Tamandua tetradactyla: one gene and its partners. The protein of the gene in region 1 interacts with the protein of each later gene in a biochemical or structural test. Links are inferred from orthologs where the notes say so. Each region holds a gene or a part of one and is shown in the gene's direction. Other genes may lie near its edges. The genes, in order: GRB2, PTPN1, EPS15 and AXL.

Region 1 (7,614 bases):
GTCATCCCATGTACAGAGGGGGAGGGCAGTGAGTTTGCTTATTGTGTTGGCTGGAGAGAGAGGCCACATCTGAGCAACAAAAGAGATTCTCTTGGGGGTGACTCTTAGGCCTAATTTTAAGTAGGCTTAATCCATCCTTTGCAGGGTTAAGTTTCATATGAACAAATCCCAAGACTGGGGGCTCACCCTATTGCTTTGGTTGTCCCCAGAGACTTTTTGAGGATTAATTTCATTATTCTGAAATGACTGAGATGACCAGTCTGTGATTAGCAAGTTTTGCTATAGTTACAACAGGTTTTCATATCAGGGTGTGACTTTTACTTCACAGCTTGCTCCTTCTTCCACTTTCATCTCCCTAATTAACATTAGCCACATACATAAATTCCAAATATTATGCCTCTCCTGTGTTTTTTTCTCTGCATTGAACAATCTTGGGCAACATTTTCTCAAATTTCTATGTCTAGAAAAACAAATTATCGAGCTGACAGTGTAACTGCTTTAAGATTTTATTAAAAATTCATCCACAATTGGTACCATTTCAAGATAACTGTTTTTATTTTTAAATGTTCTCTTCCAAAACTGTTCTCTATGCAAATGCATAGGCATACTCAGAATCTGTTTTATTAATGCTGCATTTTCAAAGGAAGTATATAACTTTCTTCTCTGTTCTCTTAGGCATCTAACCTTTGCTGAGATATCAGCCACTTCCTTAGCTTCAAATATCACCACTGTGCAAAAAAATAAACAGCCACAGCATTGTATCTCTGTTATTTATTCATCCATTTATCCACCCATCCATCCATCCATCCATCCATCCATTTATTCACTTCATTTACCCTATTTTGTGCTACTCACTGTATTGGGTGCTGGCAATACAAATGTGAAAAGGCATGGTCGTATCTGTCCTGAAGCCTGGAGACTATTAGGAAACCAAGAAGCAAATAAACGTTAATGCAATGAGATTGGAGGTAAGGCAGGAATTTTGGAGAAGGAGCTCTAAAATTGACTTGGGGACCTAACAAAGGGGAGAAGGCCAACCGGGCAGAGGAAACAGCTAGTATAAAGATATGGACCCTCAAAAGATCATGGCATCTTCCGCAAACCACAAATGGTTTAGTACTGGTGAAGTGTGTGTTGGAATGGGGGTGGGGATGGGGAGCGTTGGCTGGGGACTAAGCGGGTGGGCGCTGGTAAGCAGAGGCCAGCTCTTTAAAAGTCTTGCAAAGGACTGGAGATCTTATCTTGTAGGCACTCTGTATCTTAGTTCCAATCGATTTTCCATTCTGCAGCCAGAGTGATAAAGTATTTTGAAAATGAAATCTGACCGCTGGTCACGCCTGCTTCAGTATCTCACAGCATCAAGTCTCAAGTCTTGAGCAATGTTGAAAAGGCACATGAGCCGCTCTAACTGTTTCAGCCACATGCCACATCCTTCTTCCCATTTTCTCTCCTTGTCCCAGCTATACTGGCTTCCTTGAGTTCTCTCTTACTGATCTTTGCACGTGAAGTCTGCCTAAAACAGTCTCTCCCTCTCAGTTTGGCTACCCTACTGAATACTCTCCTTTCAGCTCTCAGCTTAACCCTACTTCCTCAGCCTTCCCTGATCCTGGACTAGGTCAGGTCCCCTCCTGTGGGCTGCCAAAACCACCAGTAATAGCCTATTATAGTCCCAGAGGGACATCTATACCCTTTAAGCTGCAAACTCCCAGAGGGGTTGTTCTGTTCTCAGTCAAATTGATGCTCAGCAAATGGTGCAGAGAATCATTGAATGCATTGAGCTTTTCATCAGTATACTGGATATTTCCACTTGGATGTCTCCTGGAGTGCTGGACTCCACATTTCCACACTTAGGGCATCATCATCACCTCCTTACCCACTCCCCTGCCGCACCCCGGTATATGGCCCCCACCCCCAGCCCCATCAGCTACTCTTGATTTGTAAATTTGTTTTCTTCTGTCACCCAGGGCCTCCACGAAATAAGTAACTGTCTCTCTTCCCTCTTCCTCTTGGCTCAGCTGCCAAGTCCTTCCCTTTCATTTTTGTTTTACTGGCCACCAATATAGAACAGAGTGTCATGGTGGGGAGAGACATGGGTTTTAGAATAAGACAGGCTCAAATCTTAGGACTGCAATATCTGGGTTTCCTTGGATAAGTTAGTTACCTCTCTGACCCTCAGTTTCCAAATCTGTAAAACAGGGATATTATCCAGGCTGTAGAGGAGCTACAATTTTAGTACAAGCAGATGCTAAATAGATGGTCCACTTTCTACTGTCCCCTCATATTAGACATCTCCTACTCAGAAGTTTTCAGAGCAGGTTGCACATCACCTGACTGTGAAACCTAAGCTGTGCATCTTGGCCTTGCATCTAATTTCTCCCCCAAATCCTGGGCCTATCTGAAATATTGACTGGTTCAGTCATTCTTTCATCCCTGCTTTCAAGTTCCAGTTCCAAGTAATGCTTCTTTCCTCTGCAGTCCTAGATGTAGTTCACTGGTTCTTAGGGCCAACTGCTCTGCCTTGCAGACTAGGCAAGTTTCTTTGGATCACAAACTGCTGAAAGCAGAGGCTCTGTCAGGTTCAACTTTTACTGCCCAGGACCTTGCCCACTGTTGATGACCAATAAATACTTGGTGAAAGAACAAACCTCCCTTATTCCAAAGGGTTTGCTTTCTCTACAGAATCAGATGTTTGGTTAGTCTCATTACAATGCTATTTTGTTGGCTTCCAGAAAGTACATTAACATCAGATGCATTCTGTTCTCTCCTTTAATTGAAAGAGCTTTTGGAACTGAAAAATGAGTTACTTCTCCAAGCCTCGTCTTCTGCCACTCCCCTTAGTCACGTACAGACATCAAACTACTTAGCCTTGCACAGAACGCTTCCTTTTTTCTCATGCCTCAGTTCCCTTGTAGGCACCGTTCTTTTTATGTGGAATGCCTTGCTCCAGCTTCTATGCCTGGCGAACTCCTACTCATCCTCCAAGACTCAATCCAAACATCATCACATCACCTTCTCAGCCAGGGCTTTTCTGTGATGGGCAAAGTAACCCTCCCTCCATCTCTGTAGCATCTTCAACATTTGCCAAATAATTATAACAATAGCTATATGATTGTTTACTTGTCTTACTCCTCCAGACTGTGAATTCCTTGAGGGCTGGGATATTTGTTCATTGTTATACCCTTTTTTCTTAATCTTTAACCAAGTATTCATTATCTTTTAAAAACATATTTATTGAGATATCTTCCCACAGATACAGTCCATACATGGTGTACAATCAATGGTTCCCAGTATCATCACATAGCTGTGTATTCATCAATATGATCATTTTTAGAACATTTGCATCACTCCAGAAAAATTAATAAAAAGAAAAAACTCATATATCCCATACTCCTTACTCCTTTCTCTCATTGACCACCAGTATTTCAATCTACCCAATTTTTTACCCTTTCTCCTCCCCCTATTATTTATTTATTATACTTATTTTTTCTCATCTGCCCATACCCTGGATAAAAGGAGCATCAGACACAAGGTTTTCACAATCACACAGTCATATTGTAAAAGCTATATTGTTATATAATCATCTTCAAGAATCAAGACTAATGGAACACAGTTCAGCAGTTTCAAGTACTTCCCTCCAGCCACTCCAATACACCATAAACTAAAAAGCAATATCTGTATAATGCGAAAGAATAACCTCCAAGATAACTTCTCAACTCGGTTTGAAATCTCTTAGCCACTGAAACTTTATTTTGTTCCACTTCTTTCTTTCCTCTTTTGGTCAAGAAGACTTTCTCAGTTCCATGAGACCAGATCCCAGCTCATCCCTGGGAGTCATGTCTCACTTCACCAGGGAGAATTACACCTCTTGGAGTCATATCCTACTTGGGGAGGAGGGCAGTGAGTTCATTTACCGAATTGGCTTAGAGAGAGACCCACATCTGAGCCACAAAAGAGGTTCTCTGGGGGGAGACTCAGGCATAATTATAAGTAGGCTTAGCTTCTCCTTTGCAGGAATAAGTTTGATTGAAGGCTCAGCCTATTGATTTGACTGTCCCCACTGCTTGCGAGAATGTCAGGAATTCCCTAGATAGGGAAGTTGAATATTTCCTTCTTTCTCCCCACACCTTCAAGGGGACCGTCGTAGGATCTTTTAGACCTAATACATATTAGGAGCATGATTTGATTAATGAACGAACGAATCCGTTATTTCATCTTACAATGCAGCGTTTGTATGGACCGGTTCTCAAACATTTCATGTTACGGTCCTCTATTTAGCGTGCTTCATGTTGGAGAGGTATCCCCTCTTCCCTCATTCCCTTGCTGTGGTGTAAGGAGAAGGGAAAATGACTATGGTTTGGAAAGAGTTACACCTTCGGGTCTGCGGCGTACTTTACTAGCTCTGGCACCGAGAGGGTTACGGCCACCAGGGGGCGGAGCCTTCCCAGTGCCACCTGCTGCGGACCGGCCTGGCGCGTGCGCCTTGGCACCTAGATGGTGTCTACCTTGCGAGGGCCCGGCCTAAAAGGAGCGCTTGCGCTCTGGGCCTTTTCCTCCGGGGGAAGTCTCGCGGAGGCGGGGTGGGGCGGGGCCACGCGGAGATGTTCTCGCGGGACCCCGACGAGGAGCGGAAGCGAGGAGGCTGAGGTGCTTCGGCAACCGGGCGGCGGCGGTGGCGGCGGCAACGGTCACGAAAGCTGGTTCTGACGGCGGCGGACACAGACGCTGCCCTAGGGGAGCAGCAGCAGGGTCGGCGGTCGCTCGCACCGCTGCGGAGGGGCCGGCCCGGCGCGGAGCAGAACAGCTGCGCCACGGTGAGTGCGGGCGGCGGCGTTCGGCGCTGCTCGGGTGCCTCTTCCTCCCGGCCCCGCGGCGGGAGTCGACCCCGGGGGTCGAGCCGAGCCCGCCCCGGGCCGCCGGGCCGGCCGCGGATCTCGGGTCGGGTAGGCGAGGCCTGGGACGAGGAGCGGAGTCTCCGGGGCTCGGGTCTCCACGTTTCCTCTTTTCGGACGCTTCCTTCCTGGGGACTGTCTTCCTTCGCCCGCGGCTCTCAGGCAGAGCCTGGGACCCCGGGGGCCCCTTGGGGTGATTCTCCTTGAAAGTCCACGTTTATCTTGAGGGTTTGCTCTGAAGGGGCTCGGGAGAATCCCGAGAGGCGCTGGGTGCTCATTTTCTGAGTCAGTCTGACTTAGCCCAGGAGGCGGGGGATTCGGGGCAGGCTGCAAATGTGATGCTTCTTCGACGTGCACGGCCACCACGTCACCAAGTGTTGGTGTTCGGGGCCCGAATTTCATGAGGGAATCCTCCAACCTTGTCAGTACCGTGCGTTAGAACGTTTACTCTCGGAGCCGGGAGAGATGCCATTATTTCTGTCGCTGTTTTTTTTGGGGGGGGAGGGAGTTGGGGGGAGCTACTCTGAAAAATTGGGTAATTGGGTGGAATGCCCCAGGAACGATTTCGGCAAGAAACACGGATTTTTCACTTGCAGAGCTCTACGAATATATATCGTAAGCATTGTGAGTCTCGGCTTATGTAGAAAGTTATTCTAGGTTGGTTTAAAGTGCTATAAAAGTACGATTGGCAGAGGAGCTGAAGTTCACTCGAGGTCTAACTTGGTTCTGTGGACGCAGAAAATAGTTTGAAATACACATGAAGAAATTGGCATTTGTCTATTTTGGCTCTCTTGTCCCTCTTTCACTTTTTTCTTCAGTTATTGCTTTCCCTGTCTATCTCTAGGTATTTTCATTTTAGCATAGACACTAAATGCATTATTTGTATAATGCAAGTCATTTGCTTCCCCCCTCCCCTTCCCTTCCCCCCATCTACTTCCCCCCCTCCCTTCCCTTCCCTTCCCTCCCCTTCCCCTCCCCCCCAGTCTATTTCCCCTTCCTCCTTAGTGTCCTGTCTCAAAAGCCTCTTCTGCAGTTTGGTGTAGGCTGTACATTCTCTCCCTCATTTAAAGGTTCCGTTTTCTTTCTTGGGAAGATACCCTCATTCCGGCTTCCATTCCTTAACGTTTAAGCGGTCACTGTGTTCCTTCAGCCAGCCAGAAGGGTTGCTAGAATTCCACGGGAAGCTTAAGTTGTCCCTCTGGGAACTGGGAGGCTCAAAGGATTGAATTCATCCGTAAGTAATCGATACTGCCACTAGGTCACAAATGTAGTTTGCTTGTGTTATTTGTGTTCTGGTGTTTTCTTTGCTTTAAGATAGTGCTTTTGGGCCTGCTTATGCTTTTTTCCCTGTATCATTTATATTTAGGGAGATTGGGTCAATTTGGGGCTTGTATGACTTTAACTTTTAATGGGAGTAACGGTTAATGTTAAAAAAATGAAAATCATTTAAACTTATTATGCAATGGCCTTAAGATGACATGAAAAATTTAAGGGAATAGAACTTATTTAGACCATTGATGAGGTAGTTAAATTATTATTAACCCATTGAAATACTATTTTTTCTCAGTGTCTTTTCCCTACGTTTGTGATAGCATCCTTTTTGAGAGGGTAGAAATAGATAACTTTATTTGCTCTGTTGCCTCTTCCCATAGTCAGAATTTTCCAAATCTCAAGATGAAAGAAATTAGTTCTTGATAATCAGCCTTCTTTCATAATGAAAACAAGCATTTAAATAAATGGTTTTAGGTAGTTTCAGCAAGTGTATTCAGGTTTGGGAGGATTACTAGGATTTGAATACTTCATGGTACTTAGAGATTTTTTCCAGTAATTCTTGTTATCATGTCAGATATTATGCAGCAGCAGGAGAATTGCATTATGTTTGAAGAAATGAAGTAATACAGAATAGAGAGCTACCATAATTTAAAAGAAATTAATAGTTACCTGCTTAAATTAGAAGAACTCTCCAGCATTATTGAATGACCATTTAGATTCTTTTTCTTTCTTTTTTTGTCCAAAATGGCTTTTTTCTAGTTGTGCCAAGTGAATGTGTGTTATTTTCATTTTATACAAAACATTGTAGTTCACTGTCTGGCATGTAAATTTTTAAATCTTAAGATGCCTTTATTGTACAGCGGTAATTCTTAAAGTTTAGTATGTGTAAGAAGCATCTGGGGCTCTTATTTAAAATCAGGTTCTGGGCAAAAGGCCCTTTCATTGCAGAACTCCAGGGCCCCTTACCACTCTGAATCTGTCTGTGAATTTTGGGTAGTTTTGATGCAGATGATCCGTGAACCAAAACTTTTCTTCCAGGATGCAGCTTGCTTATGGTAAAGAATGAGACTGAGCGTGGCTTAAAGTTACTCAACCGAAAGTACAGCTCTTCTATATACAAAGTAAATATTTAGAAGCCTAGTAGAATAAGTGACTGTCTGATGTGATTCATTTTTAAATGTGTAAATATTTGACTATTGTTAGGACTGTGATGTGAAATAATTTAATTTTAAAGTTTATATTTGAAAGAGCTCTTAATTTTTCAGAGTTCTTCTAAGTCTATATATAAATGGAAGATTTAGATTTAATGTGATAACATGTGGACCCCTCTTTGAAAAGGGTCTGATCTTGCAAGTTAGCATCTCTTGAGCACTTTATGCCAGAGACTGTACTTTCTAATCAACAGAATAACTTTCTAAGGTAGGTGCTGTTGTTATCCCCATTTTCCAGCTGA
Region 2 (7,821 bases), on another chromosome or scaffold:
ATTCTGCAATCATCTTCAAGAAACATGGCTACCGAAAACAGCTCTACATTTTCAGACAGTTCCCTCCAGCCTCTCTGTTGCATCTTAACTAAAAAGGTGGTATCTGTATAATGCGTAAGAATAATCTCCAGGATAACCTCTTGACTATGTTTGAAATCTCTCAGCCACTGACACTTTATTTTGCCTCATTTGTCTCTTCCTCCTTTCAGTCGAGAAGGTTTTCTCAGTCCCTTGGTGCTGAGTCCCAGCTCATTCTAGGATTTCTGTCCCATGTTGCCAGGAAGGTCCACACCCCTGGGAGTCATGTCCCTTGTAGAGTGGGGAGGGCGGTGAGTTTACTTGTCGTTTTGGCTAAGAGAGAGAGAGGCCACATCTGAGCCACAAAAGAGGTTCTCTTGGGGTGACTCTTAACCTAAACTTAAGTAGGCATGGCCTATCCTCTGCAGGGTTTGGTTAATGGTTTTCATTATTTCTATTGTATATACTGAACATGTTTTAACTTTCTGAGGAATAATTTCCACAAATGATTAAATCTTTAGTGTTTAAGAATATTTGCATTTTCTAGTGATTACTTCAATACTGTTATCTTTATACTGTATCCTTAGTTCCCTCAGTTTATACTGTTGCTGTTGATTCCCAGCTGTGAGCAGTATTAATATTAGCTAGTGATCTCTTCATTCCCTTCCAGCATCTAATTGGAAGTATTCCCAGTTGATATCTGTAAAACTATTCAGCAAAATTATTCTACTTTTCAAAAATGCTGCTTGTTTGACTCCCCTTTTCCTGATAGTAGTGCTCTACATTGTCAGGTCTGATAGCCATTACATAGCATGATGCCTTCTTGACACTATACTGTGTCTTGGATCCACTAGTAAATATTATATTGCTCACTATACATTCTTTAAATCTCCCTAATCATTTTGAATCCTGAAGCTCATTCTTCAGTAGGTTCTTCAGCATTTTTGTGTTTTTGGGGTCGTGATGGGGCATTGCACTCACCTGTGAATTGGAATCTGCAGTATCTGCTCCCACTTTAGCTGCTGACACAGATTGGCCTGTCACACTTTCCAATGACGACCTGGTGGTGATGTGGGGTTCTGTTGATCTCAGAGTCATCATCACCTGTTGTCTTTATTCACTTGTCACACAAATACTTCCCATGTGGGGACTGAATAAGCTATTGGTGGTGTGCCCCCACTTACACGTTCAGAATCATAAGGATATCGTGTCTCTAGTTTAATTTTTGTCTGTGGAGTTGGCTGTGTTAGTTTCGCTAGCCTTGTTGCTTTAATTCTTTTTTTTTATGAAGAGGTTCAGGGAGATTGATAAATTATGCTGCTGATGGCACCATCTTCCTGAATCATGAAGTCAGACTAATCTGTTAAAAACATGTATCTGATTGTATCATTCCTCTCTGCTTTTTTTCCCCCCTACTTGTTTTTAAAGTAGAATCTTTTTTTGATACTCTCAATTATGGAAAACTTTAAATATATTGATGTAGAGAGAATAACATAATGAACCTCTGTGTATCCATCACCCAGTTACAACAATTATAAACTCATAACCCATCTTTTCTCATCTCATTACCCCTCCCAGCTCTGAATTGTTTTGAAGCAAATTCCAGCATCATAAATAATTCTTTTAAAAGAAAAAAATTGAATTCTCAGGGACCAGAGGAGCCAGAACCACCTCTACTTTTGATTTGGGGAGGAAAAATATCAAGGAGAGAAACGATATAATCCAGAGGTCTGGAGCATTCACAGTGTGGCCTCTAATTATCTCATGGTAGACTCTGCTAGGCACATGCAAGAAAACATCAAAAGTATTAAATTGTTTCTGTTCTCATGTTCATAAGCAGATTTGTAAAACAAAATCGAAACGTAGCTCTCCATGACAGCTACCTGATTTCTAAGGTCAGGCGAAGCAAATTTCGTTTTACGTATATTTAGTTGAAAAGCAATGCTCAGAGTAACTACTTCAAATAGCATCTACCAAGGCAGTGTTTACTCATCCCTGCCTGAATTTTTTCAAAGAGAGAGCAAGTTCTCAAAGTTGGTTTGACTCTTGGTACTTTCCTATGCAGTCATTATTTTGTTTCCACTATCTGCCTCTTGCTGTTTATGTTTTCTTCCTTCCAAATCCATAACTTTCACTTTGGTTCTTTCTGAACTGTTTAGTGTACTCATTCATTAAGTCTTTATTGAGTGCCTGCTGTCTGCAGGAATTGCGCTGCAGGGAACTGTTTAACGTACTCATTCATTAAGTCTTTATTGAGTACCTGCTGTCTGCAGGAATTGCACTGCAGTGAAGTGTTTAGCATACTCATTCATTAAGTCTTTATTGAGTGCCTGCTGTCTGCAGGAATTGCGCTGCAGTGGTGAACAAGCCAAATCTGGTTTCTTTGAGATGGACAGCTTATACTCCATCACTTCTGGAAAGTCTTTCGTGCCCTGGTAGGTGGAAACAAGAAGTTTAGAAGTTGTACATGTGCCCTGGGCACTGGGACTTGCGTCACAGGCTGTTGTAGTGTGGATGTGGGCGTGCTCCCTTCTTTCTGACCTTTGGTGTGATTAATGCAAGGACTTATAGAGTGACTCAAGCTTTTGACGTTGCTCCAGTGGAGAATGGCCATCTCTTCTCTACCCTGACTCGGGGCCCTCACCATTGCTGAGGTTTCCTTTCAAGCAACAGTGCCGAAACAGGGTGGAGAAACAGCGTAGACATAACTGTACGATTTATTTCCTCATATTGACGCCAACCAGAGTCTGAAAGGAGCAGCAACAGGTCACCAGTGCCTGGAAACTCACTCTGTGTTTCTTCTCCACCAGATGTTGGCTGTCCCGCAGTTTCTCCTGAATTCATTACTGCGGTTTTACTAGCTAACCTTGGTTCCTTTCCCTCTTCCTGTAGGTTGGGTTTCCCCTCTGAGCATTACTTTCTCCTCAGTAGTATTTGTTGGTGGCACAGTAAGTCTTTCCCCACCATGTGGGAACCCACTGAGGTCAGGTCCATTATTTAACTACCTGCCTGGTCAACACTTGGCACACAACTTGGAATGCAAGGACAGAGATTGGTTGGAAGTATATTGTGCACTTGGTTGTGAAGGTGAGCCCAAAACTTGGCTATGTCAGCTTATGTAAAAGTTAGTCTTAAAGAGTATGCTTAGGTGGTAAAACCAGTTACCTTTGAAAGTATTTTATATTTTTGGCTTTTAAACTATCCTGTCCTCTAATAAACTTATCTTAGTGAAATTTTATAGTTTACTCTGAGTAATCTTGTGAAGACTGATTTGTTCAGCACAATATGGAAAACAGACATTCTAAATGATTTTTAAGAAAAAAGTATATTTTAATTTTTATTAATAAAACCAATCAACATACAGCATGAACATTCTTAACATGTGAACATTCCATACTTGATGTACAATCAGTGACTTACAGTATCATCACATAATTGTATATTCATCAACATGATCATTTCTCAAAACATTTACATCACTCCAGAAAAAGAAATAAAAAGAAAAAAGAAGAAAACTCATACATATCATACCCCTTACCCTTCCCTTTCATTGACAACTAGTATTTCCCTCTACCCAATTTATTTTAACATTTGTTCCCTCATTATTTGTTTATTTTTAATCCATATTTTTTACTCATCTGTCCATACTGTAATAAAAGGAGCATCAGAACTAGGTTTTCACAGTCACACAGTCACTTTGCGAAAGCTAGTACAAATATTCTTGATGAATGAAAATATGACTAAATTTTAGTGGTTTTGAAGTTATCTTGATTTTTTGGAAAGTGTTTATCCTAATTCTGTACCTAGTAATGTGTATATGGGTTTTGGTTCCTGTGCAGTTTTAGTTGTGGTATTAATGCTGAGCAAGCCCTTTTAAGGAAGGATTTTGTATCTGTCAGACTTTGAATGCTTCTAAAAATTGATCATATGTTATTAGCAGAGGATCACTGCCTGCTTCCATAGTAAAGAAGATTTATTTTTTTATGCATTCAGTTCTAAGAAGGCAGCTGTGATCTAAAGACCATGAGACTGTTGCCCAAGGTTTATGAATGGAGAGGGGGGAGAGATAGAACTCTTGAACAAAATCTTGTTTTATTACATATATTGAGGCGGTAAGGTGTACTAATTTTTTGAGATACTGCTTTTTTAAGCTGGGTATTATTTGAAGAAGCTACTCTGTTGCTTTTCAACTAAATATACTTAAAATTTGTTTCACCTGATGTTCAAAATCACGTAACTGTCATGGAAAGCGATGTTTTTTGTTTTTTTTTAATGTAACATCTGCTTATGAACATGAGAACAGAAATGATTTAATTAATGTTTTAGTGTATTTCGCTACAAATTTATTCCCAAATAATACACATCAGTCAAATACAAAAAAGTAAGTAAATTTGAACTAGAGTATTATAATTGCAGAAATTCTCTTGTAGTTTTAAAATATTCCCTGTATTTTAATCTCTTGTATTCATGATTTTTAATTTGCTAAATGGTTGCCAGAATGACTAACCTACATCATCTTCTGTTACCTGTTTGTCTTAAAAACTCTAATTGTAATGGCTCATCCATCTATAAAAAAAAGTAATTTGTTCATTCTGAAATCAGAATTACCAGATGCAGCTGCATTTTGTTACTGTTTGAGTTTAGTGAGAGGGAAGAGGATGTAGCCTTTTGAACTACTGCAATATGCAAACACAAAAATTAAACTGAGCATGGTTATGGAGCCCGTACGCTGACTGAACCAGAAGAAACTCCTATTCTTAGCGTGGTATGTGGCTTTAAAGGCAGTATAAAGACTGTTGAAGGAAAATAAACTCCAGATGGATTAAGGTCAAATGTTAAAAAAAAAAATGCAGAGGAAGAAGACTTTCTAACTTTAGAAGCAGTAAGGGAAGTCATAGTGGAAAAAGGTCAATAGGTTTGAATACATAAAAAATAAAACCGCTCTAAAGCTTTCTTTTGCACAAGTAATACATATTCACTCTAGAATAAAATTGAAAAGCAAAAGAAAATTAAAACCACTCATTATCCTATTAAGCAGTGGTAGCAGTTCTGTTATAGCTATATTGACAATTTTGTGATTGTCCTTTCAGACTTTAACTTCCCATACATAAGATGTGTCAAATGTTCAGACAAATAAATTTTTAAAAAAGTGGTTTCCAGTGAAGACAAAGAGTTAATGACTTAAATATATATGTGAAGAACTTACATGAATAAAGAGGAGACTGATATTCCAAAGGATAAGTAAGCAAAGGAGAGAAAGAGACAAGTCACTCTGTATGAGGTGTCTAGCAGACATTGAGCGCCTGGGAGTCAAGTTAGGTTTTTGTATTAAAGTTGTGCTTCCTGTGCACATAAACAGCTGTTAGAAGGGACAGATAAGCTTTATATTGTTGTTTATATATTTTATTGGAACATTTTGAGGTATAATGACCGAGATATAAATTACAATGTGTGGAAAACATTTTTCTTTAAATGGGCTTTCAGAAGATAATATATAAGAATGTATTCATGAATTTGGGCATCTGCAGATGTTTCGTAAGCAAGAACCAAAAAGCTGACTATAAAGAAGAGTATTTATTAATTTAATTACATTTCAGTGATGAACTTTTGTTCCTCAAAAGACACCATAAGTGTGTGTGGTAGGCTATTTGCATAACTATCCAGGAATTCCTCCCTTTCTTGTCTGTATGTTCCTTTGAGTGTGGCTCCCATTGAGAGGTGGAGTCTCTTTCTTCACTTTTGAATTTGTGCTTGGCCATAGCCCTAACTCTCTGGCCAATAAGATCCTTAACTTAAGTGACTTAAGCAGAGACCTCCAAAAGTAGTTGCATGTTGGGCCTTGCCCTCCCTTGCTTATCTTTTAGAATTCTGTAAACACTAGCATGTGCACAAGCCCAGGCTAGCCTGTTGGCTGGTGAGCAACAGAAGACCTGGTTAACCTTCATCATCCTTGCTGAAAGCCAGCCATGTGAGTGAGGCCATTGGACCACCTGCCAAAACTGCATGTGTGAGCCCAGCCACCATCACACGGAACCAAGTCAAGCCATCCCACCTGAACTCAGTCCAAATGGCCAACCCATAGTAGGATCATGAGCAAACAAGTAGTTATTGTATGCCCCTGAGTTTTGAGGTGGTTTGAAACGTAGAAAACACTAACTGATATATAAAGAATGAAAAGCAAGCCACAGACTGGAAGATATTTGCAAGATGTATGACCATCAAAGTGCTTATGCCCAAGATATATAAGGAATGCCTGCATATCACCAGGAAAAAGACAGACAGGTTAATAGAAAAAAGTGGACAAATAACTTGAGCAGATGGTTCACTAATGAGAATACGTAAACCATCCAGTAAGTGTATGAAAAGGTATGTACCAGTATTACTCATCAGGGAAATGTAAACTAAAGTCAGTGAGATAACTCTGTATGACCAGTTAAAATAGCAAGTGTTGACAAAGATGTGGGATCAGCTGGAACTCATCCTGTTGGTGAGGGGCAAATTGACATAACCACTTTAGAAAACTGTTTGGCTATACCTACTAAAGCAAATCAATATACATCTTCTTTGTTGGCTCCCCCTTAGCTATATAGACAAGAGAAATGTGTAAGAGGTGGGCCAAAAGACATGCTCTATAATTTTCTTAGCAGCATTATAATAGCCAGACACTGGAAACAACCCAGATCGTCCATCAATAGTAGTCAAGTAGTCAGGATATATACGTTGTAATATTACTTTGTAATACAAGGAAATACTGTGCAGCAGTGAAAAAGTGTGGATTCCTCCTACACGCAGTGACATGGATGAATTTCTTGATCATCACATTAAGCAAATGAAACCAGAAACAAAAGAGGACATGCTTTAGGAATCCATTTACATGAAGTTCAAGCAGTCATAACTATCATATCAGAGGTTAGGAGGGTGTTTACCTTTGGTAAGGGGGTAGTGACTGGAGAAGGCATAAATAGAGCTAATGGGTACTGAAATATTCTCTTTCTTGGCTTGGGTTGTGGTTGTATCAGTGTGTTTACTTACAAACATTTGTCAAGCTGAATACTTATGATTTGTGTTCTTTTCTGTACTTTCTATTCCTCTATGTGTTTTTCTGTAGATGTTATACCTAGTAATTAAGTTTATTATTTTTTTTAAAAAGCCTAAAGGCTGCCCACGGTGGCTCAGCAGGCAAGAACGCTTGCCTGGAATGTCAGAGGACCCGGGTTCTATTCCCGGTGCCTGCCCATGTATTTAAAAAAAAAAAAAAAAGCCTAAAGTTTCAGGAAACTGATAACATTAGAAAAACAGTATTGAAACCCATCTGAGTGTGGTGTTTCTAAGTTAGAGTAATAGTCGTCATTGTAATTAATGTAAAGTCTAACTGGTTAAACACATATATATATATATATTTTCTTGGAGTTTCCAACTTTTATTTCTGTGAAATTCTGCTCTTCAGGATACATGCTTTATTTCTCCAGCCCAAAATGCAGTGGTATTAATAAATTGTTCTCACTTTTGTATTTGCTTATTTATTTCATCCTGTCTGGTGTAATGCGCACTATAACTTTGTTAGAGTTTCTAAAACCTGTCAGTTGTTGGGAGTTTCCCCTGGATAGATGTAAACTTTGAGCTGTGTTTATTTTCATCATAAGAAAGGTGTAGCCATTCTGTGTTGTGTAAAACATTTTGGTGGGGATTACCTTGTGATTAGGTTCCCTGAGAACCTGCCTGTCACCAGGCCCTCCGTTGGCTCTTCCCCCATTTTAATTCATCTTGTACACCTTACCCACAAACCTTATACCCTCCTCCCAC
Region 3 (7,771 bases), on another chromosome or scaffold:
TTGATTTGGTTGTCCCCACTGCTTGTGAGAATATCAGAAATTCTCCAGTTGGGGAAGTTGAATATTTCCCCCTTTCTTCCCAGTCCCCCAAGGGGACTTTGCAAATACTTCCTTATTTACTGCCCAAATTACTCTGGGATTTATCAGGGCATTACATTAACCTGGACAGACCAACAAGATCTCATGCCCTATTCAAGATTCCATGTACTTACAGCGTTCAACTAAACAGGCCATATGAGTTAAATTAGGTAATGTGCTACCCAAGATACAAATTTTAGGCCAGGTTTTTTGATAGGCCATTTATGTATTGTCTCTAATCCTTACACCACCCTACAGGGTAAGTATTATCTACAATGTACACATGAGGAATCAGAGGCTTAGAGACCCAGAGGCTTTAAAGTGTCCTAGAAAAAACAGGTAAGTCTTTTTAGTCTGCTCCTTGAAGCTCATTCTTGTTACAGTGAATTAGATCATAACATATCTTCCATTAGCTACATTTTGCTCTCCTAAAATAGATTTGGGATATGACCTAGTGCTTTGATGAGATCTGGGACACACATTTGCAAACTATCACTGCTGTGTCAGTTTAAAAAATCCAGTTCCAGACGTTTTAGGCCTTTTTAGGAGTTTGGACCATTTTCTCCCACCCCTGTAGACCTGCTTCCATCCCCTACTACTTATCAAGTTATTGATTTAATCCAGAGCCAAGGAGGGGAGGAAGTTGGTGGCACAAATTATTGGTAGTATGGAAGGGAGCCTGGGGCAAATTTCATAAAATTTTTCTCTCTTCTGTTTTGGTCTGCTAAAGCATTGGATTTTTTTTTTTTTTTCCTGCATGGGCAGCCAGAAATTAAACCCAGGTCTCTGGCATGGCAGATGAGAATTCTGCCACTGAGCCACCATTGCACCGCACTAAAGCATTGGCTTTTCTGCATTTTTTTTGGGTTGTTGTTGGTGGTGGTGCATGGTCCAGGAATTGAACTCAGGTCTCCTGCATGGAAGGCAGGAATTCTAACCACTGAACTACCCGTGCACCCCAGCACTGGCTTTTAAAAAGGGGATTTATTAAGTTACAATTCTAGGGCATGGAAATGTCCAAATTAAGGCATTAACAAGAGGAAACCTTCACTGAAGTAAGGCCAACTGCATCTGGGTTCCTCTGTCACATGGGAGGGCACATGGTGACGTCTGCTGGCTCTTCTCTCCTGGGTTGGTTTCAAAATGGCTCTCAGCTCCTGTGGGTCCTTCTGGTTTCTGCTGGGGCATTTTCTTTCTTCAAGCATTTGTGCTTTTCTCCAAAATGTCTCTCTGAAAGGACTCCAGTAAGTAGATTAAGACTCACTTTGAATGGGTGGGGTCAAATAACCTAATCAAAAGGTCTTACCCAACAATATGTCTACCCCCACAAGATTAGATTAAAAGAACATGGCTTTTCTGGGGTACATATACATAACAGTTTCAAACTAGCACATTTTCTTTTCTTTTTTCCTTTCCCTTTTCTTTTCTTCCCTTCCCTTCCCTTTTCTTTTTCTTCTCTAAGGCCCAAATCTGCTTTCAGTGATCCTTCCTTAAACAAATTAGTTATAAAAAATGTGTTCTTTGGTTTTCTCATGTATGAAATGGAGATCCAAATAATTACAAATGAGATTATGTATATAGTTCTGTTTAACACTTTCGCCACAACTACTAGATGCCAGAAGTTGTGCTAAATGTTGTATGTAAAAACATTTATAAACTGTGAGGAGCAATACTGCACAAATATTAGCTGCCATTTTCTACTTATTATAAGTTGTATTAAATAATAATAATTCCTTATATTTCCTCAAAAACTTCCATACTGCTAATTTTGTGATTAGCAAACTGTGATTTGCTAATTTTCACATATGAGAGATTGAAGTTCAGATAATTTAAATGCTCTGTCTGAACTCACATACTAAATGACTTCAATATTCTATTTCAGTGTTACTACTGCACACTCCTTTTCTAGGAGTGTGTACACCAGGGACTCGACTCTATTCAACCAGAATAACATCTTGTATCTTATATGGTTTGGAGGAGACTTCTTGAACAGCAAGTGTGTTGGTTTGAAAGGATTTATGTACCCTAGAAAAGTCATGTTTTAATCCTGATCCAGTGAGAGCAACCATTTCTTTTAATCTCTATTCTGTACTATACACTGGAAACTCAATTAGATTATCTCCATGGAGATGTGACTCACCCAATTGTGGCTATTAACCTCGGATTAGAGGGAGCTGTGACTCCACCAATTCCAGGTGGGTTTTGACTTGTTTACTAGAATCTTTTAAAAGAGGAAGCATTTTGGAGAAAGAGAGAGCAACAGAGCAGACTCCTAAGAACCATGAGAGCCTATGCAGCCAGACGCCCTTGGAGATTAAGAAGGAAAACGTCTTCACGAAACAAGAAGCCTGAAGAGAAAGCTAGCAGATGTCATCATGTTCTCCATGTGTCTTTCCAGCTGAGAGAGAAACCCTGAACTTCATCAGCCTTTCTTGAGTGAAGGTAACCTCTTGTTGGTGCCTTAATTTGGACATTTTTATAGACTTGCTTTAATTAGGTCATTTTCATGGCCTTAGAACTATAAATTTGCAACTTAATAAATTCCCTCTTTTAAAAGCCATTCCATTTCTGGTATATTGCATTCCGGCAGCTAGCAGACTGGAACAGCAAGTAAAAGTAAACTCCCAAAATCAAGTTGCTCTACCACTTTCAGATTTCTTAACTAAATTCATGTACCTACAGCTTTAGGCATTTTCCTACATCTTATCTCATTTATCTTCACAACTACCTTAATGTCTTACAGCTAGAAAATGGGTGTTTCTGATGTCTGAGCACTGTTTTTTCCACTACACTGCACTGCTTTTTTTTTCTTAATGCAATTTTATTGAGATATATTCACACACCATACAAATCATCCATGTATACAATTACTAGTTCACAGTATCACACTGCACTGCTTTTCCACTACACTACACTGCTTTGGCTATTAGCAGTGTGACTGGGAAAATCCCTTTAGTCTCTGTTATGCCCAGTTTCCTCATCTGTAAGGTGCATATGATGATCACTATCTTCTCAGGTGGCTGTGAAGCTCAAATGTGATAACATGAAATAGAAAATTCCAATAGAGACATCAGTTGTGGTTCTAGCTGATAAACATACCAAAGCAGAGTCATTTAAAACAGTGTCTCCCCTTCACCCTTGAGGCAAAAAGAAAAATAGCAAAAAGAGGCCAAGGAAGACTCTTTGTTAAATAAGTGATTGCACAACAGACCTGTATTACTTGCTCTTAATGGATGGACCTTGTTGAAGGGGTCTGAGCAAAGTTAGGTGTCCCTGGGGACATTTTTGGGATGGTTTGCCTATAGTGGAAAAGGTCTAAAAACTTAGGTGGGGTCAGCTCCATCATGGGTTTGTTCAATTGGCGCTCCTAGGGCATCAAATGAGGACTGCTATGATAATGGTATCAGGGGTGTGGGCTTGATAGAGTTGTGGTTAATTGTCATGGGAAGCCACAGTGACTGAGAAAGGGAGACCAGTTCTGGGCAAAGATATTTATCGAAGCGCTCTCTGGGCTGGGTTAAACTGTGAGTGGTTGTGGTAGAGAGTCGGCCATATGTCCTCAGTTTAGTGGGGTGTAGACAAGCCCTCAACTAACTCTTAAAAACAAGGCAGATTGTAATAAGGATCGTATCAGAGCAATTAAGAGGTGGGGTGGGGAATTCCTAGAAGGCTTCTTGAAGGAGATGGCATATAAGCCAGACCTTTGAAGATGAGGGTTTCAAATGACTGGTTGGTTATTCCAACTGAAGGTGGCAGCATGGGAAAGTCTAGGAAGTCTTACATTTAATGCAGGCAGGGACTAAGACATGCAAACACTCACTGAGCACCTACTACATGCTAAGGTCTGAGGACAGAAATATATCAGAAACAGCCGTTGTCATTGAGGAGCTCAGTCTAGCAAGAAAACAGATATAAACAGTCATTCAGGTGATGATGACTTCCTAAAAGAAGAAATGTTGAACTGAAGAAGAGAGTAACTCTGATTTGAAGAGGTCAGGAAATAGTTTTCCAGAGGAGTTGACACTTGAGTTTCGTCTGAAGGAATGAGGAGGAGTTTGCTAGATAGATTAAAGCAAGAGTTAGGAGGTGATGCAGGCATCTAAGCAGGGCTGTGTTCTTTTATTGGCCAATCCATTTGCGGCAGCCAGCAGGCGAGGAAAGGATTTTTTTCCCCCTCTCACCTAGATTTTGACTTGGAGAGACAGTGATATCATACTCCAATAGTAGATGGTTAAATGAAAGATTTTGGAGTCAGACCTGGATTCTAATCCAGTTTATCTACTCAGGTGTATGATCTTAGGCAAGACACTTATTTGCGTCTCAGTTCCCTCATTCATACAATTAAAAAAATTAAAGCGTCTGGCACAGAGCCTGGGACATACAAAGTGCTGTTATTCTTTACCATTATTATCTCATTTAGCCCTCACAAGCTACCTGGACTGTGGGTATAAATTTCTCCCATTTTTCAAAAAACAGAAGCTCCGGACTAGGTAGGTGACCTGCCCAAAGATCACAGGACAATCAGGATTCCCCTCCCACTCCGCAGCCCCGTCTGCCTTAATTTCCTATTCGCGCGGGCTTTTCTCAGGCAGCCCCGAGGACAGGCAGCTCCGGTCTGGCGGCTCAAACTCCAGTGCCGAGGTTTGGGTTCCGCCGCGGCCTTCGCCGGGCGGGCGGGGGGCGGGGCCAGGCGGGGCGGGGCGGGCAAGAGGAGGGAAGTTGTCGAAGTTGGGGTAGACGCCCGCCTGCCCGGGCCTCGCCTCCGGCCGCTCCCTCCGCCTCCTCCCCGCCCGAGTCTCCGTCCGCCAGTCCTTCCTTCCCCTCCTGTGCATGATGGAAACACCATGGCTGCGGCGGCCCAGCTTTCCCTGACACAGGTAACGCCACCCGCCCGGCCGCCGGGGTCCCCCGGCCGGTGCCTGGCCTATTCGTGGCTCCAGACTTCTTCCCCCACTGTCGTTAGGTTCGCCGACCCGGGCAGCTTCTCCAGGTTCGCTAGCCTGGCGGCCGGTGTTGATGAGAAGCAGCGTGTGAGTGACTGGGGGAGGGCGCCATCCCGAGCCGGTAGCTCAGCGACGGCAGCCGCGACCCCGCCCCGGGTCCCTCAGTGCCCCCCCCTCGCCCCCCGACCGGCCCCTCTTCGCCGCTGCTGAGTGGACCGTGTCCCCCGCTTGGATCAACCCATGCCCGGCCCTTCTCACTCCAGTCAGCTTTCACCGACCCAAGAAAGTTTCCTTCTTCCAGGCCAGACGCACTCCCAGGTGAGCTCCGTGTTGAGCTCGCGTGGACCATCCTGACCCCCTGCTTCAGCCCTCGCCCCGCACGAGGCTCGCCCTCTTGGCAAGGCAGCGCGCTTCCCCCCTCAGAATTACCTTCCCGACGCACAAGCTCACTCGAAACTAGTCTTTCCCCTTTAAGTCGGCTTTTTTTTTTTTTGCCTACTGGAGTCCAATGAAATCACCCTCCTCCCCAGCAGTTTTCTTCAGTCATCCTCATCCTATCAATGTACTCACTCTGCTAACTCCTTATTGAGTTGAGTTTCTTCCCCTCCCGGTCAGGTTATCTTCTGGGCCAGATCCCGATTTCGAGTCTTTTCCTTTCCAAATCCACCTCCACCCCTGCCAGGTGGGCTCTCACTTAATCCCTCTCCAAGCGTACAAGAGGGAAACAGCCTTGAAACAAGCGTTTGCTTCCTCTAGTCTTGGTCCTGGGAACATTCACTGAGATTACTTGTCCTGGGGAATCTTCACCAAAATCTGTTCTTTAAGGTCTTTTCCTCTTGCCTTTTTGCTTCCTTCAGAGACCAGTCCTTGTGCTTCACAGAAGACCTCCCAACATCACTTACTCAGAGAACCTCTTTCCTCCCTCTCTGTCAAAGAAAGCCAATTGTAGTTGGCCAGTATGATAGCCGGTATGATGAGATGACAGGTGTCTGCCAATCCCTTCCTCTCCCTCTGACCCGAACAGGGCCATATACTTCCATGTTGGGGCCCAACCTTCCTGCCCACCGTGTGGAATTTTTCTGTTACCTTGTAGTCTTCTTGGCTTGGATTTGTCGGTGTTTAATAAGGCAGTAGGATCTTCTGTGTAGAAACAAGAGGCCTTGCTATTTTGTGCCTAGTACTCCACAACAGAAACTTAGTGATAAATGTCTTCTCCCAGGAACCAGGAGTTACTAATGAACAAGTGCTGCAGGTAAAATAACAAACTTCAGTTTGCAGGAAATAACAGTCTCATAAGTGAATGTTTATTTCTGCATTTATTTGGTGTTAGTTATCCTGATTTGAAAAGCAGATAGCAGGGAAGACCCCTTTAATATGGAATGTGGTGGCTAGAGTCTTGGTCTTGAATCTCTTTGGAAGGGTCTGCCTGAAATTCAAATTTGAAGAATGGCAACATTGACTTTTGGGTGTTAGCTTTCTGAGTGTAGTTAGTGACATGTACTAAACAAGATCCCTTTTGGCAGGCTACTGCTCTTTGGCTCTCTTGGCTAATTCTGGCAGGAGTTTTCTCCTCTGATACTTTTGTTCTTTTGAAGACTTTTATAGATTTGCTTCTTAGTTGTGTGTAAACTTTAGTTTCTCCCTGGGTAATACTGTTTTTAAAATATCTCTTTTCTCTCATTCATTTTGGTGATTTGCTTCAGGTTCTATCAGGTTTGTAGTCACCTAAGTGATTTATGTTCTTGTAGTTATATATTTAGGAGTTAACCTGTACCCACAGTAAATGATGAATTAGGAACGAGTGTTGTTCCTCAGTGTTTCAAAGATGAGAGAACATACTACATTGATGGTTCATTTATATTGATAATTCGAAAAAATCACTTTAGACTATTTTGATTTTAGAATATTGAAAGGCAGTGAGATATATTGTAAAGGCCCAGTAAAAAAGAACCTTTTCAATTGTTAGTATACACTAATGTGCCTCCTTGTTATTGTAGAACTTTGCAGATATGTAGGTTTTTAATTAAAAACATTTTTTAACTGCTTGAGTTTAACTGCTTAATTTGAGATAATGCAATCTGGTCTCACATTCATTATTGATATATTTATGTCACCCCCTGCCTTCCTCACCCTTTTCCCCCTCCCCCAACATGTAGGCATACTGGAGTGAGAAATCCTTCAGGGCAAGGGTAGCTTTTAATTCCTCTCTCTCCCCCAGTGCCCATCTTGAAGAAAATGATTAGTCAATGTTTGTCAAATGAATGATTGAAAATTCTAAAACACTCTATGGCAGTTATAAAGATTAAAAGGATACTGAAATTAGTTTCTGCCTCTGGTTGTGAGATAATGATGGGTTTGAGGTAGGTTCATTTTAACAAATATTTAAGTATTATGTGCTAGACACTGTGTTGGGATTGTCTTGTTTATGATTTTCTGCCTTTATTGATTAAGCGCAACTGACAGTTGCGGGGGAGGGAAATGTGAAAAATATTTTAATTTATGCCTTCCTTCCTCTTCCCCTGCTTGCCACCCAACCCTCAATCTCCCAACCCCCAAACTAAAGTAAATTGTATATTAGCTTCTAGAGAGGATAAGAATATTAGAGTAATGAAACTCTAGTTCCATTTTCAACTCTGCCAACTGAGGATATGCTAGTGAACAAAATAGATGACAGTTATTGCCTCCGTGGAGTTTACATTCTAGTAAGGGAGTTTGAGCTAGCAGATCTAAGGACCTTTCTAGTTCTTAAC
Region 4 (7,900 bases), on another chromosome or scaffold:
CCTGGCACGAGAAAGAGCAGCCCTTCCTGGCTCTCGCCACCACACAGGCACACGGAGACCCCACTCCTGTCCACGGCCCTAATGCCCGCTCCCTTCCTGCGCCGCCCCCTCTCCAGGCACGACCCGCCACACTCCCCAGCCATTGAGTCACACGGACAGGACAGTGGACGTGGGGCGCCGTGGTAGTGGTAGCCCCTCCCCCGAGTATTTTCCTCCCACGGAGAGTCACCACCCACTCCGTCCCACCCTCAGCCCTCAAGCCCTGCTCCCCCAACTCTCCACTGTCCCAGAGTCTCCCAAACACAAACACGTGCCCGGTCTGCAGCTGTGCTTGCCGGGCGCTGGGATCCAGGGGATTTGGGTCACACAGGGGCCTTCAGGGCCGCCCCCCACAAAGCCTCTTCTCCCAGACAAGCCCCAGAGTCCAAGTCCCAGCTAGACCCAGCGGAAGGGGCTCAGGGGGGCTGAGGGAGAGGCTGGGCCTGGCCCCTCTGTGACTTGAAGGTCCTCCCGTTGCAATAAAAGGGTTTCTGGCCTGCGTGTGGGTTTGTGACGCGTGTGGATTTGTGGCCGTGTCTGAAACCCCTCCCAGTCCCCTCCCCCGAGGCCGGGCTGGAGCCGAAAAACATGGTCCCCACCCACCCTGGCTGTTGACATCAGCACCAGATGTGGAGCCCGGTGTGGGGGCCAAGGAGGGGGAGGGCTGGGCCCGGGCGGGGAAGGGGGTGCAGGGAGAAGGGCTCCAGCCTCACCCAAGCTGGGCTGCAGGCCTGGGAAAAGCCAGCCCACGCCCTGGGAACTCCCCGAGTCCGAAAGCAGAGACTTACAGCCCCTCTGCGTGCTTCTCCCACCGCCCTTTTTTTCTGTCTTCTCTTGTCCGGGAAACCAGAGGCGTCTTTTTATTTGCTATAGAGCATGGCAGTTTTTAAACACACCCCAAGGAGAGAGAACGGCCCGATGACCCTCCTGTCCCCATCACCCTCCCCCATTAAAACTCATCAACTTCTTGCTATTTTTATTTCATCTGTCCCTTGATTTCACCTATCACATTGTTTAAGATTATTTTCAAGCACCTCCCAGAAAATAATCAATATGCAGCTCTAACCGCTAAGAACATTCTGCCCCCAATATTGTATTATGAACATTTTCAAACACAGAGAAAGAAAAATAGAAGGACTTTACGGGGAATGCCCATGTGCCATTTCCCAGGTTCTCCCACCAGCATTTTGCTACATTGCTTTCTCACATTTCTAGCCACCTGACCGTCTATCTCAGCTCTTTCATGCTTTTTGAAGGGAACTACAGACATCAGTGCCCCTTCCCCTAATACTTGGATAATGCATTTATCATTAGCCAAGGTTGACTTTAAAAATCAAAACTACATCCTGTGGTCATGCCAATCACAGCTGTCAATTCTGTAATATCAAATACAAATATAATGTTCTCACTGGCCTCATAAATGTAGTTTAGAGTTGACTTGCTCAAATAAGGATGCAAAGAAAGGCCCACCACACAGAGCTCTCGTTTGAAACGTCACTTTGGGTTTTTAAATTAGTTCCTCACCCTTTTTTATTTCGATTTTATCTTCTTTTTTCCCCTCCTCCAACCTTTTTTATGTTATTTCTCGGTGGGGGACGGCGGAAATCAGTCTTTTGTTGTGTACACGTTCTCATATTCTGGATTTGGCTGACAGCATCTTTATGGTGCTGTTTAAAGTGTCCTTCACTCCAGGACCTCCTGTGAACTGGGAATTGCCCAAAAGATGCCAGATCCCTTGTTGTGTCACATCACAATCACTGGTGGTCCCATAGTTTGGGATGCTGAAGTTTGATGGTCCAGTTCCTAATCTCTCCGTGAGGAACTTCCTCATCAACCTTTCACTTTCTAGCCTAAGTAGAGGAATCCTTTAAAAATATGAATCAAACCTGTTCTCTCCCCTGCTCCCCCACTGTCCCCCCACCTCCCCGTGGCTCCCATCAAGTTAGAATAAAAGCCCAAGTCCACGCCAGGCCAAGACACTGAACAACAGGATTGGTCTCTGATCTCACCTCCTTCCTCTTCCACCCCCCCCCCCAATTCATCTGCTCAGGCCACAGTTGTCTTCCTGCAGCTCCTGCCTCTGAGCCTTTGCATTGGCTGTTCCTTCTGCCTGAAACACTCTTCCCCCACATGGTTCATTTCCTAATCTACTTTAGATCTCAGTCTACTGCCCTCTCTAAAATGGCACACCTACCCTTCCCCATCCTCCCCCTGCTTTATTTTTCTTCACTGCCCATCTCACCCCCCTGATGAATATTTATGATTGTCGTCTCTCTTCCCCCTAGAATATGGAATCCCCAGCAGATTCACACAAGTGAAGAGAGACTTTTGAACATATTTGCAACTCCCCCTGCCCCTCCAAAAATGCCACAATTATTCATTTATGGCAGCCCTTCTAAAGGGTGGTGGGGATGAAGATACCCAATCCCTGCCCTCGTAGCATCCCAGAGACCAGCAGGAGGAGACAGACATGAGACACATAATCACACCAATAAATACGTCATGATAGCCCATGCAGTGTTGCCAAAGAAAAGGACAGGGCGTAAGAGTGAGCAACATGGGACCTAGATTAGACTTGGGGGTGGGGGGCAGGCAGCCACTCCAGAGAGGGCTGAGGAGCTGGCTGGGGAGGCTCTGGGGCCTGGGAGGAGGCTGTTTGGGTCAGGAAGTGAAAGAAGCCTGGGGAGGGGGGAGGGAGTGTCCAGTGGAGATAAGGGGACTTTAAAAAAGGCCTCAATAAAGAGTTTGGGGGGTTGTCGTGGAAGGCTGGGCAAGAGGGGGAAAGGGTTTCACTGGGGATTGAAAAAACACGGCCCGGTTGGGAGATGGGCTGGAGAGAGAGGGGCAGCCCGGAGGGCAGGACCCCAGCAGGAAGGGATTGGGAAGGGGTAAAGGGATGGGGAGAGGTTTGTGAGGCTGACCCTAGGACTTGAGAACTGACTGCAGGGTGGGGCCTGCCCTGAAGGGTCAGCCTTGGAAGTTAAGACAGAAGCTGAAATGGGACATAAATGAGACAGCTCAGCGAGGCTGGACCTGCCTAGTAGCTGGGAGCTCACCTCGCAGGCAGTGAGGGAGGCCAAGGTTAAGCAGGAGACCCAGTCTTGTATTTCAGAAACAGCCCTCTGCCTGCGGGGTGGGCGGGAAGCAGGGTGGAGGGAGCAAGAGGGGAGGACAGGGCAGGGGCCCGGGTGGGAGAGGCTGGGGCTGGACCCTGTGGGGTGGAAGGCATTGGAGGTGAAATGGGGGTGAAATAGGTAGGACTTTGAGGTGTGCAGTAGAGGCCGGGAGCAGAGAAATTGCTCCCAGCCCACTCTCCCGCAGACCACTGTATGCAAAACCTAGGGACACAGATGACACACAGAGGCGCCGGCTCTGCGCCTCTGGGACACAATCCCGCTAGGCCAGCCTGCAACCCCAGAGCACAGAGCTGAGCTGCCAAGAGAGCCACCGGTGCCTTGTCAGTGCCAGTCCCACTTGCTAAGGACAATGGGTGCCTTGGCTAGGTTATCTGCCTGCCCTTCCAGCCTGCTGAGGGGGGGTTCTCTGCTTGCTCCCATTTTACAGATGGACTAACCGAGGCCCGGGGAGCAGTCACTTGCCCAAGGTCACTGGTGGTTAATGATAGAGCTGGGGTTCCAACCCCGATGTCTGGGGGATGCCAAGGCTCAGATCTTACCCAGCAGGCTAGACTGCCCCAGGGGTTTCACCCGCCTACACCGGCCTGGTCTTATGCCGACCACAGGGCACCAAGGTGTCCTCAGGGAAGGGCCCAGAGAAGACCCAGACATCGCCCCACGGAGCCCACATTGCTGTTGTAATCCAAGTCCAATGCCGCATAGCAAATCCAGGAGCCTGACCACCCCACTCCCACTCCCACTCCATCTCCCTGTCTGGGGTTCTGTCTGCTCCATCACACTTCTGGGGAGGCCCAGCACTGAGGGGGTGGAGATGGAGCCAAGGAGCCACCAGTCCAGTCCCTCTGTTTCCCTGGAACAGACAGTTCATGGGGTCAGGGCCTGTTGGCAGGAGGGGGCTTGTCGGGGAAGGTACAGGGCCCAGGGCTGGGGGGTGGGCTTACACCAGGAGCTGCTGTTGCTACCTGCACACCACTCTGGCTTCCTTGCAGGAATGGTCCCGGGCATGTCTGTGAGCGTTTCTGTGTAGCTGAACACACTCAAGTTTCCCCATGTCCGTGGATCAGTATTTCCAGGTACACCTGTGACTCCATTTCCCTCCACATCTGCCTGTCCCTGTCGATGTTTCTAGGCTCTCTGCCTATATGTGTGTCTGGGTGTTTTTCCCACGCCTTTGACTCGAATGCTCGCCGACCTGGGAGCATGCCTGTCTTCTGGTATGTCTGACTGTGTGTGTGTGTGTACGTGTGTGCACGTGTGCGTATGCATGTCTGCACCTTATGTGTCTGAGGGTCCATAGGTCCCAGGTGTCCCCGCTGCAGAGGTTTCTCCGGGAGCTGAGTCCCTCACCCGGCTCTCCTGAGCGTGCCTGTGGGCGGACAGCGTGCCCCTGCGAGTCCTGGGTCCCCTGCGTGTCTCTGCCTGTCCCAGCCTCTGCAGGTCCGTGTCTGAGCGTGCGTATGTGTCCTTGTCCCAGGAGCTCTGAGTGTGAGGGGGAGTGAAGGGCCTGGGGAGGCCTGGCTGTGGCTGGGCTGGGTGGGGGACAGCTGGGGGAGGGGAGTCGTGGAGGAATGTTTACCAGACACAGAGAGAGCCCAGAGGGACAGCGCCCAGAGCTGGGACACGGAGACACACAGCCTCCCTGCCTCACCGCTCCAGGATGAGAGGCGCAGCCACAAGGGACTCTTTCCCCCTCCTCAGCTTCCCCCCAGGGCCCCTTTAAGACCGGGCTGGACCCCTCCTCTCCGCCTTAACCCCTCACTGACCAGCTGGCCCCCTGGGCTTGAGCAGTGGGCGGAGGCAGGGGGAGGAGGGAGCCAGGGGCGGGGAAAGGGTTTCCCGAAGTCTGGGAGCAAGAGAAGGAGGCAGGAGAGCCTGGAAGGCGCCGGAGCAGAGCCGGCCGAGGGCCCCCACCGTGCCAGGCGGCCAGTGCCAGACCCCGGGAGCTGGGGGGAGGGCCGGGGACTGCCTGTCCCTGCCCCCTCCCCCGCGGGGTGCCCAGCAACTTCTGAGGAAAGTTCGGCATCGGTTTTGCGGTGGCCCGAGGATGGGCAGGGTCCCTCTGGCCTGGTGCTTGGCGCTCTGGTGCTGGGGGTGCGCGGCCCCCAGGGGTGAGTGGTGGGGGCCGGTGGGGCAGGACCACCGGTGGCGGGGGGGGGGGGGGGCATGGGGGATGGGGGGCAGGAGCGGTGAGAGGGGGGTGGATGGCAGGTGTTGGGGGCGATTCCTGGGCTGGCTCAGAGTGTTTCCTTCGGACGAGAGAAACGGACTGTGAGAGGGAGGCAGGGAAGGACAGAGACTCGAGACAAACCAAGAGAGAGGGGGAGGAAGAGACTCAAGAGAGGAACATGGACAAGAAACAAAAACTGAAGGAGGAGGACACGGACAGAAAGGAGTAGGGGAGGACAAGGCGAAAGCTGAGGGAGCTGGTGGGGGCTGCATTTGAGTCTGGGGTCCTGGGAAGAGGGGCTGAGCTGGGGAGCACCCGAAGGAATCTTCCAGAAAGGAGCCCTATCTCTCTGGCTCTTTCTCTCTCCCTATTCATCTCTGAGTCTCTCTCTGCCTCGATTTCTCTGTGTGTGTGTCTCTCTTCTGTTGCAGTCCCCCTCTGTGTATTTCTCCTCTTTTCCCTTCACTCTCAGGAAAGTCTCTCTTTCTGTCTCGGTACCCCGTGCCTGGCTTTCTCGGGCTTCTCTCTCTGTCTCTCTTATGTTTCTTCTCCCTCCCCTGCCCTTTTCTTCCCCTCCATCCACGAAGCCTGAGCTGTTTGGTCTCCGGAGACCCCAAGTGAGGGCAGGGCTGGCCCTGCTGGGCCTCCAGGCTGTGGGGGCTACCAGACCCCGCTTCCTTCTGAACGGACCCCAGTGCCTAGGAAGGCGCCCATCCTGCCCCCAGAGCCTCCACCCTCCACTGGCCTCTGAGGTCACCCTACAACTATGTGGGCCTGAGGGCTTGGGGGGGGGGTGTCCTGGCAGTGGGTGGGCAGCGGGGGGGGGGGCAGGAAGGGGTGCAGAGGGAAGTGGGGGCCTTTCAGCCAACCTGTCCCATCCACCCTGCAGGTGCACAGGCTGCTGCAGCGGATCCCTTTGTGAGGAGCCCAGGAAACATCACGGGGGCCCGGGGCCTGACGGGGACGCTGCAGTGTGAGCTCCACGTTCACCAGGAGCCCCCCGAGGTGAACTGGCTTCAGGACGGACAGATCCTGGAGCTGGCGGAGAGCACCCAGATCCAGGTGCCCCTGGGTGAGGACGGCGAGGACGACTGGAAGGTGGTCAGCCAACTCAGGTGTCCAGTTTCTTCCCGGCCCCTGCACCCCTCCTGGTCCCTGTCGTCCCCGACCCCTACCCCTATCACAGCCCGCCTGCAGCCCGGCCACCTGGGTTGGAATCCCAGCCTGACCACTTCCTAGCTGTGGGGCATGAAGTGTGTCACAGAACCTCTGGGTTTCACTTTCTTCTTCTGTAAAATGGGATAATAATAGAACCTCCTCCACGGTTCTTTCCGCTTCCCAGTCCAGAGGCCCCTCTTCCGGTTCTGACCAGCCCCTCCCAGTGCCCAGCTCTGACCCTGCACCTCTCTGCCCCCGTCTTGCCCCACCAGGATCTTGTCCCTGCAGCTGTCGGATGCTGGGCGATACCAGTGTATGGTGGTCCTGGAAGGAGGGGCCTTCCTGTCCCGGCCTGGCTATGTGGGGCTGGAGGGTGAGCCCTGGGGGTCCGGGCGCATCTAGCCTAGGACTGTCAGCGATTTTAAGGGATCGGGAAGCTGGGGGGCCATAAATTCTGGCCAGGGGAGGGGACAGGGATGATAGGTCTGCCTGCCGGGCCAGACATGGTGGGAGCAAGACATTCTGTAGACTCAGATAAGGAGGTGAGGATGAGTCAGGCATTCTGGAGGAGAGATTTGGGGGGTCAGAGGTTAAGGGGAGGGGTCAGACATTGGGACCTTATGTCCTAAGGGTTGGAAAGACACCTGGGGGGCAGGGTGTCAGACATCTGAGGGTGAGGCAGGGTCTTTGGCAGGGAGTGTGTCAGATGGGGACAGTCCTGAAGCCTCCAACATAGACACCTGGGGGGGCGGTGCTCAGAGACCTCAGCTTGGACCCCTGCCTGCCATCCCCGCCCCCCAGGCCTGCCTTACTTCCTGGAGGAGCCTGAGGACAGGGCTGTGGCTGCCGACACCCCCTTTAACCTGACCTGCCGGGCCCAGGGACCCCCAGAGCCCGTGGACCTACTCTGGCTGCAGGACGCTGCTCCCGTGGCCTGGGCCTCGCACCAAGGCCCCCACCAAACTCTGCAAGTCGCAGGTGAGCCCGGCCCGGCCCAGCCAGGGAAGGGGGCGGTGCAGACATGGTTCACTGCCTCTGCGTGTCTGCCGGGCCCTCTTGCCTGCTCTGTGTATCTCTGTCTCTGTTTCTGTATCTCTTTGTCTCTGTCGCTGTCTCTGCATCCCTGTCCCCATCTGCCTCCTTGTTTCTGTCCGTATATCTCTCTCTGTTTCTGTCTCTCTGCCACCCATCTCCGTCCCCATCTTTCCATTTCTTTCTCACTGTTTCTGGGTGTCTCGCTCATCTCTGTGTGTTTCTCTGCTCGTTCTTCCTCCATTCAGCCCAGCCTCTCTGTGAATAGACTTCTTTGTCCCGGATGTCCTCTGAGCCGTGTGTGGGCCTGGTGCCCTCTGTCAGCCCCTGACCCCAACCTGGACCCCGGAACCACCGGGGTCTCCTC

Evidence for each region.
Region 2: the proteins of GRB2 (region 1) and PTPN1 form a complex in vitro, tested with the Homo sapiens proteins (2 studies listed by BioGRID). The link is inferred for Tamandua tetradactyla from reciprocal best matches to the Homo sapiens genes GRB2 and PTPN1.
Region 3: the proteins of GRB2 (region 1) and EPS15 form a complex in vitro, tested with the Homo sapiens proteins (2 studies listed by BioGRID, with this or other methods). The link is inferred for Tamandua tetradactyla from reciprocal best matches to the Homo sapiens genes GRB2 and EPS15.
Region 4: the proteins of GRB2 (region 1) and AXL form a complex in vitro, tested with the Homo sapiens proteins (2 studies listed by BioGRID, with this or other methods). The link is inferred for Tamandua tetradactyla from reciprocal best matches to the Homo sapiens genes GRB2 and AXL.

The regions. Positions count from the first base shown.
Region 1 is NC_135332.1:15,811,361-15,818,974, reverse strand, and holds the start of GRB2 (growth factor receptor-bound protein 2), read left to right. Parts: upstream 1-4,598; 5' UTR 4,599-4,811; intron 4,812-5,379; exon of another isoform or gene 5,380-5,513; intron 5,514-5,926; exon of another isoform or gene 5,927-6,123; intron 6,124-7,614. UniProt on the Homo sapiens protein: Non-enzymatic adapter protein that plays a pivotal role in precisely regulated signaling cascades from cell surface receptors to cellular responses, including signaling transduction and gene expression.
Region 2 is NC_135327.1:2,307,395-2,315,215, reverse strand, and holds the start of PTPN1 (tyrosine-protein phosphatase non-receptor type 1), read left to right. Parts: upstream 1-4,810; 5' UTR 4,811-7,821. UniProt on the Homo sapiens protein: Tyrosine-protein phosphatase which acts as a regulator of endoplasmic reticulum unfolded protein response. Mediates dephosphorylation of EIF2AK3/PERK; inactivating the protein kinase activity of EIF2AK3/PERK.
Region 3 is NC_135328.1:170,658,179-170,665,949, forward strand, and holds the start of EPS15 (epidermal growth factor receptor substrate 15), read left to right. Parts: upstream 1-4,759; 5' UTR 4,760-4,922; coding exon 4,923-4,955; intron 4,956-7,771. UniProt on the Homo sapiens protein: Involved in cell growth regulation. May be involved in the regulation of mitogenic signals and control of cell proliferation. Involved in the internalization of ligand-inducible receptors of the receptor tyrosine kinase (RTK) type, in particular EGFR.
Region 4 is NC_135342.1:22,537,789-22,545,688, reverse strand, and holds the start of AXL (tyrosine-protein kinase receptor UFO), read left to right. Parts: upstream 1-4,896; 5' UTR 4,897-5,220; coding exon 5,221-5,284; intron 5,285-5,450; exon of another isoform or gene 5,451-5,602; intron 5,603-6,232; coding exon 6,233-6,458; intron 6,459-6,773; coding exon 6,774-6,874; intron 6,875-7,302; coding exon 7,303-7,479; intron 7,480-7,900. UniProt on the Homo sapiens protein: Receptor tyrosine kinase that transduces signals from the extracellular matrix into the cytoplasm by binding growth factor GAS6 and which is thus regulating many physiological processes including cell survival, cell proliferation, migration and differentiation.